Bombyx mori: one gene and its partner. The protein of the gene in region 1 purifies or fractionates together with the protein of each later gene. This does not show direct contact. Links are inferred from orthologs where the notes say so. Each region holds a gene or a part of one and is shown on either strand. Other genes may lie near its edges. The genes, in order: exportin-6 and zinc finger matrin-type protein 2.

Region 1 (3,833 bases):
CTATTTCAATTATTAATTTATCAATTATAAACATATTTAAAAAAAATTAAGATCCCTTGAGAGTTCACATTCCTTGCTGAATCAGTTTCTCTTCTGAAACGGAGAAACAAAGTATCTTAAGTATGTAACAAATATTGAAAAAATACGACCATGAAAAATTTAGTGTTAATGTAATCTTACTTACAAATTAATATATTACATAACACGTTCTGGTTCAAATATAGTGCATCAATCTTTTCATGTTTCAGACATTTTAGTGCTCCTTATAATTTTTCCATAAAATTTTGTCATTATCAAACCTTTGTCTACAAAAATAAAAACATTATTTTATATTGGGTAGAAGGATGAACGTGGTCACAGGCCACTTGGTGTAACTTAGTTATCAAACACCAGGAAACAAAACGTGAATGCCATCATCTAACTTTGGATGTGAGATCAATTGTGCTGTATTTTATTTAAACAGGAAAGCATGACTGATTGATCATTCCAAAAAACTAGTTCGGGCCCACTTGACAATAAGCATATAATACGCTGAGTTGCAAAACATAAATACTTCCACCCACTCGAGACAATTTTATTATCTGAGGTGTGTGTGTGATAGTACGAGACTTAATACCGACTGTTTTGATCAAAACTTAACATATATGATAGCTAGGCAGCAGAAATAGGAAGGACCATTAGTTGGTGCTAATTCATTTAATTATATTATGAATAATAATTCTGTTAGCAAATAATATACCGGGAAAATAGTGTAAACTCACCGTTATCAAGGCATCCGAAATAGCATTTCATTTTCGATCTTCGAGGCATGCTGATTTTTAATAATAAACATTCTGTAAGAAATGAAAATAGTTACACAGGCTTACGAAACGCTAACGAAGAAAAAAGTATTGGAGCCAAGTTATGTCTAAAGAGAATTCAAAACAGAGTTTCTCAATGTCTAATCGTCTAATATTCTCATAAAGCTAAAAGTTGCTCTAAATTAATACTACAACGTAAAATAACTCACACCAAGACCAAAAAAAAACGATTTAAAAAATTAAATCGTTACGACATTTTGAAAACTTTTTTTTTTTTTGAGATTGTTTTACGGCCCTGGAATTTTGAAAACTTCAAAGCAGTGTTTCCACTTACGTTTTTTTTAACACATTTTACCCTAGTTTCTTTTGAATTTACCCTAAAATTTCCTAGACAACTTTCATAAATCCTTTATATAGAAAGCGTAAATAAAATACAGAAAATAAACCACAGCATATTATTTAATGTAGGTATATATAATATAAACGCCCCCAGAAGAACATAGATCTATAGGATTAGAATTTTCAAGGAAGTCGACGCATTGCTTTTATATTCTTTTGCTGCACAACCTAACACTGTTCGGTTCTAAAATTGAGCAATTGTTTGCTGGCAAAGTTGGGAACTTTCTATGAAGCAAGCCGTTCAGGGTTTCATTAGAAAGCCTGTTTCTTTTGTCAGTTTTTAAATTTGAGAACACTGAATAATCTTTCCACCTCAGTCTTTGAAGAAGGAACTGCTAGCAAAAGTGAAATGACAATTACAAGGTTTTCGTAAATGAAATTACCATGATAATCTTTCATGGTACATGAAGTACCTGTATATTACAATACAAGTAAGTTCTGGTGACATCAACGAAAATAGGTAAATAAAAATTTGGCGGATTATACTTATTGGGATTCTGGGGAATCCCTAAGAAAAAGCAGTGGCTTAATCTATGATTTACTTTACTAGAGGGTTACTGTTGAATCAAACCTTTATAGTTTTTATACACAACTCTGTTTTATTCTTTTACTTGTCAACTCGACTTAATGTCATTCTCTCTCCATAAAATAAAATGTTCATTGTTTTACTTTAATTATCGTTTATTTTAAAATTCACAACAGTTACTAGTATAGGCTTTGCTTTTTACCCCGAAATATCCTAAATCCTGGTATTTTTTAAATTGTCTTTATCATCCAAAATATCAGCTATTTTTCCCTAAAAAAGGGAGAATTCCCTAAAAGTGGAAGCACTGCTTCAAAGTACGCTACATTTTTTATTGAGTCAGAACTCATATCTGCCATCTAGTGAGTTTATTAGATCATTAATGCCTAAAAGTTACAAAAATGACGTCGCCACAGGAGTAAGATGACGCTAGTTGTATGTTATTTTCCTTTGTATGGGAGTTGCACCCCCCTGTATACAAGTTCCGAACAACAATATTCGGACCGTCGGTCCACCGAACAATTACCTGCTCGGTTGAAGATCTTCCCTTTCGTCGTTATTCCTACAATGATATATGAGGACGTCAACGCAAAAGGGGCCTAAGCTTACCATAGTTAGTATGGAAATAATGAGGTTTCGCATTTACCTTTACAATAATACTTCGTATGAAAAAAAGTGTGTGTGTGTGCAAGTCACACACGGTAGAAGTGAAACTTATAAATAAGATATAGATATACTGACTATCCCACTACATAACACTATTACAATATATTATACTAACACAGTGGAGATAAAAAGGCCGCGGCTCAGCTTTGTGATATTAGGTTGGTTCGGTCGGTAGTAGTAAGGTTGTTGTGGTTGTGCGCTTGCAGGGGCGGCACGGAGGGCAGCCTGGAGCGGCTGGTGCAGTGCGTGCGGCTGGGCGTGGAGGCGGGCGGCGGCGGCGTGCGCGTGGACGTGGTGCTCGAGCTGCTGCACCGCCACGTGCTGCCGCGCGCCTCGCACCTGGCGCCGGACCTCGCGCGGGCCGCGCACGCGCTGCTAGCCAGGTGGGGGCAACAACACACTGCTGGTAGGGCCTCTTGTGAGTCCGCGCGGGTAGGTACCACCACCTTGCCTATTTCTGCCGTGAAGCAGTAATGCGTTTCGGTTTGAAGGGTAGGGCAGCCGTTGTAACTACATATACTTGAAACCTTAGAACTTATATCTCAAGATGGGTGGCGCATTTACGTTGTAGATGTCTATGGGCGCCAGTAACCACTTAAAACTAGGTGGGCTGTGAGCTCGTCTACTCATCTAAGCAATAAAAAATATACATATATATAGATGCGTGAACGTTTAAAATTAAAAAATAAATAAAAAAAAACGTTAATTTTAATTGAAACTTTCACGATCTCGTAAATGCGGTATAAATGTATTTTTAAAAATGTATTTTTTTTATAGGGACAGAGAAAGCGACTTTCTTTTGTACTATGTAGTGATGGATAGGTTTTGTTGTAGCGTATTAATTCATCGGTGGCGATACTTCTTCCCGCACAAGTGCGACACGGCGGAGGGGGGGCGGCGCGCGGACGAGTTCCGCGGCGCGCTGTCTGCGCTCGGGCGCGCCCTGCTGCTGCCCGACATAGAGCTGCTCAAGCTCAACATTGCGACGCTCGAGACGCTCAACAGCAAGTGGAAACTCTATCATAAAGTGAGTTTACGTATTGTACTACATAGATATTTTTTTTATTGCCCTTGTAGGCAGACGAGCATACGGCACACCTGATGGTGAGTGGTTACCGTCGCCCATGGAATTCATCAGCAATGCCAGGGGCAGAGCCAAGCCTGCCTACCGCAATGGATGGACCGGCTCATGTGTTCGCCTTGAGACATGAGTAACGTGACCTTTTTTTTTTTTCGTGTCAAAGCGGGACGCCTACCGAATTTCGTATATAAATAAATACATATATAGGATACGTCGGGGTAAGATGTAATATGTAAGTGCAAAAAAAAATTTTTTTTAAATGACTTGAAATAATTCATTATGGTATCTTATCCGCACTGGCATCTTAATCCCATTCTCTCGGATTAATCCCATTCTCTCGGATCGTTTGGAGCCTCTGGGTCTG
Region 2 (3,669 bases), on another chromosome or scaffold:
AATACAAAAGAAATAAATAAAAAAACAGTCACTGGAAGTGGCTTTTCGGGTTCTTCCAAAAAGTCCACTAAAGTTTCTGTAAATAACCACCATTTTACTAAAACGTTATATCATCCCATCTCATCTCATTTCACCCCAATCGATTACAGCCTCAAATAAATCATCTTCAACTCTTTTTATATCTATATCATTTTTATAATAGTATGGGGAAAAGTCTTTTCTCATTATAGTAGGTAGGTATGTATGAACTTGTAATAAAATCTCTTTGGTTATACTATTTGTATCTGGCTGGTTTTGGAATAATTAAAGGTTTAAAATTTTAAAAAAGACAATTCCAAATTCAAATTAAGAAAATGTGTGATTTTTATTTGTTTTTCGTACTGTCAAGATTAGGGAATCTAATGAAGAAAATCGATACATTTAAAAAGTTTACTACAAAAAAGGTAAAAATGCAACGTAGGCCGCGAAAAAAAATTGCGATGTTTATGGACCTAGTGCTGTGTCTGTGAAAGTAGCACAAAATTGGTTTAAGCGTTTTCAATACGAAATTTTTATTTTAAGAATTTGTACGTCGCTCTAATCGAATCTTTTTGAAAAAGTGAAAGTGACTGATCGCATCTTTTTGAAAAAGTAAAGCAAGATCGGCATATCAGTAGTTACGACGTAGCTGAAGAACTGGGAATTGACTACAAAACAGCTTTGGCTCATTTGAAAAAAAATAGATACACAAAAAAGTTCGATATTTGGGTACCTCACGAGCTCACTGAAAGAAACCTAATGAACCGTGTACTCATTTGTGATTCTTTATTACGACGTAATGAAACCGAACCATGTTTGAAGAAGCTGATAACTGGTGATGAAAAGTGGATCACGCACGACAAGAACGTACGAAAAAAGTCGTGGTCAAAGGTCCGTCAGGCTTCACAGACTGTGGCAAAACCTGGGTTAACTTGCAACAAGGTGATGCTGTTTGTGTAGTGGAATTGGAAGGACATTATTCATTATGAGCTGTTACCACCAGGCAAGACCATTGATTCTGAACTCTACTGCGAACAACTGATGAGATTAAAGGAAGAAGTTGAGAGAAAGTGGCCAGAATTAATCAACAGAAGGAGTGTGGCTTTTCATCATGATAACAATGTGACCTTACACATCTTTAGCCATTCAGCAAAAATTAAGAGAGCTTGACTGGAAGATGTTAATGCATCCGCTGTTTATCCGTATATCCGTCCTGACCTTGCACCTTCAGGTTTCCACCTGTTTCGGTTCTTCAGAATTCTTTAGGCAGTGTCAGATTAACATCACGAGAGGACTGCCAAAACCAATTGTCTCGGTATTTTGATCAGAAGCCCCAAATTTTTTATAGCAATGGGATCATGTCCCTATTTACAAAATGGCAAAAAGCTATCGAACAAAATGATACCTACATACTTAAGTTAAATGTAAATAAACTATTAAAAAAATTTGTTAATTTTCTTAAAAAATGCGAAGAAACTTTTTCCCCAACCTATTATATTAATTTTCATGTAACTGAATATATAAAAGATTAGGCTGTATAATATATATATGCTTTCGCCTTTCTTGTTAGAAAATGGAAATACTACAACTAATCATTTGTCAGTTTTGTCACTGCTAGTTGTCAATTAGAAACATTTCGTTTGTGTTGTTAAGGATGATTTTCTCGTGTTATTTTTTTAATAGATCTAATTGATTACTCTTCCCTCTGGGTACACGTTTAATATAAAACAAACAAGTGGAGTGTGTAAGAAAATCATAACTTGTAATTGTTGTGAAATAAATACTATAAAATTTAAACATGAGTATGCGCCCCGATGACCACCGAAGAAAATGGGACAAAGAGGAATTCGAGAAAATTGCAGCCGAGCGTTTGAAAGCAGAGCTAGAAGAAGAAGAAAAATCCAAGAAGAAAGGTAAAATATTTGTGTCAACACACTTTGTTACGTTAAAATACAAATTTGACACAATATATAAATGTTTGTTTAATTTTCATTTTCCAGCCACTCCAGTCAAACGTGAACTTCTCAAACAACGTGAATATAAAGTAGATTTGGACTCGAGACTCGGGAAGAGTGTAGTAATCAATAAGAATACGCCAACGTCCCAATCTGGAGGATATTATTGTAATGTTTGTGACTGTGTTGTTAAAGATTCAATAAATTTCCTTGATCACATCAATGGTAAAAAACATCAGAGGAATCTGGGAATGTCCATGAAAATAGAAAGGAGCAGCTTAGATCAGGTGAGCTTACTTTTTCACATGTATGTATATGCATAGTACCAAGCAGGTAAATAGGATTGTTGACTTGCTACTAGATTTATGGTCTGAGATCATCAATTGGCCACTGTTGCATCAAAATAATAACAAACATCATGAACCAACGCTATTATTTTTGTGATTGCCTGAGTTGAGCAAACCTACCATCCCACTCAACTAGAGCACTCAATATTAAAATAATTCTCAACAAATTCTTTCAATCTTAATTTTATCAAGTTCTAATGCTATTGTTAAGGAATAATAAATGTAAAATGTTCAACCAAATAGATGATTTAAATTTCTAGACCACTAATTTGAAATAATCTATCTAACTCATCTAGCTGTTCTCAATTTTATAAATACCATTCAGGTTTTAATAATATTTATTCTATTCTATCATAGCTACTACTACTACATTATATTTGTTTGGTTCCAGGTAAAAGCAAGATTTGCACTCAATAAACGAAAGTTGGAAGAGAAAAAGCGTGAATATGAATTAGACACAAGATTAAAGGAAGCCGCTGAAGAAGAAGCTCGTGTGAAAGAGCTACGTAGGGAGAGACGTCGGGACAAGAAACGGAAGTTAATGGAGAATGATGAAATAGATGATACACCAGCACCTTCTGAATTAGCACAAATTATGGGGTTTTCTGGCTTTGGAGGATCTAAAAAATGATATGTTTTAAAATGTAAAGCTTATATTAATAAATACTGTGTGGTACAATAATGTTTCATTGAATGTTTTAATTATTATTTGGCTAATAATTCTATTTGCCCTGACCTTGTTTTATCAAGGTATAATTATGAACTTTGATTTAGCAGACAGGATAATATTACCATATTTATTTGGAAAAGGCTAGAAAAAACGACACCATGTAAATGTAACATGTTCCAAATGCTTTTTCCAATTAAAAAATATAAATTATAAGGCTACAATGTCCACTACCGGACTTGGTATGAGGGCATGTTTTTCATGTGCTAGATGAAAGCTTTTCACTGACTCCAGTAGTCCTGTATATGTCAAAACTCACATCAACTTTAGTTTTTGGGATTTGGGATTTTGGGATATGTAAATCGCACGTGACTACTTTGACTGACTGACTTTTCGAGGACAATAAACAATTCAACAACAAAATCAGTTGGCTGGGCGTTAAAAGAGCGCTCATCTCTCTACTCTAAGTCGTTTCTGTTGAGTCTGGGCTAAGATAACGATCTCGCCCAAATCTATAAATTAAAATAAGACATGACTTAAAGGTCTTAGTCACCAGGTCATAAAATACCTTAAAAAAAGAATTTTATATAATACTTTTTGGCGGGAACGCGAGGCGTGAAGTTGTGTGATTTGTTTTATTTTGTGTTTCTTCGGGTTTAAATGTGTAATAATGGTGGTTTAT

The links.
Region 2: the proteins of exportin-6 (region 1) and zinc finger matrin-type protein 2 purify together in Homo sapiens (co-immunoprecipitation; 3 studies listed by BioGRID and IntAct, with this or other methods). This does not show direct contact. The link is inferred for Bombyx mori from reciprocal best matches to the Homo sapiens genes XPO6 and ZMAT2.

The regions. Positions count from the first base shown.
Region 1 is NC_085114.1:10,453,188-10,457,020, reverse strand, and holds part of exportin-6, read left to right. Parts: exon of another isoform or gene 1-93; intron 94-184; exon of another isoform or gene 185-305; intron 306-761; exon of another isoform or gene 762-2,413; intron 2,414-2,594; coding exon 2,595-2,771; intron 2,772-3,222; coding exon 3,223-3,415; intron 3,416-3,833. UniProt on the Homo sapiens protein: Mediates the nuclear export of actin and profilin-actin complexes in somatic cells.
Region 2 is NC_085128.1:9,737,867-9,741,535, reverse strand, and holds zinc finger matrin-type protein 2, read left to right. Parts: upstream 1-1,613; 5' UTR 1,614-1,816; coding exon 1,817-1,931; intron 1,932-2,018; coding exon 2,019-2,260; intron 2,261-2,711; coding exon 2,712-2,951; 3' UTR 2,952-3,002; downstream 3,003-3,669. UniProt on the Homo sapiens protein: Involved in pre-mRNA splicing as a component of the spliceosome.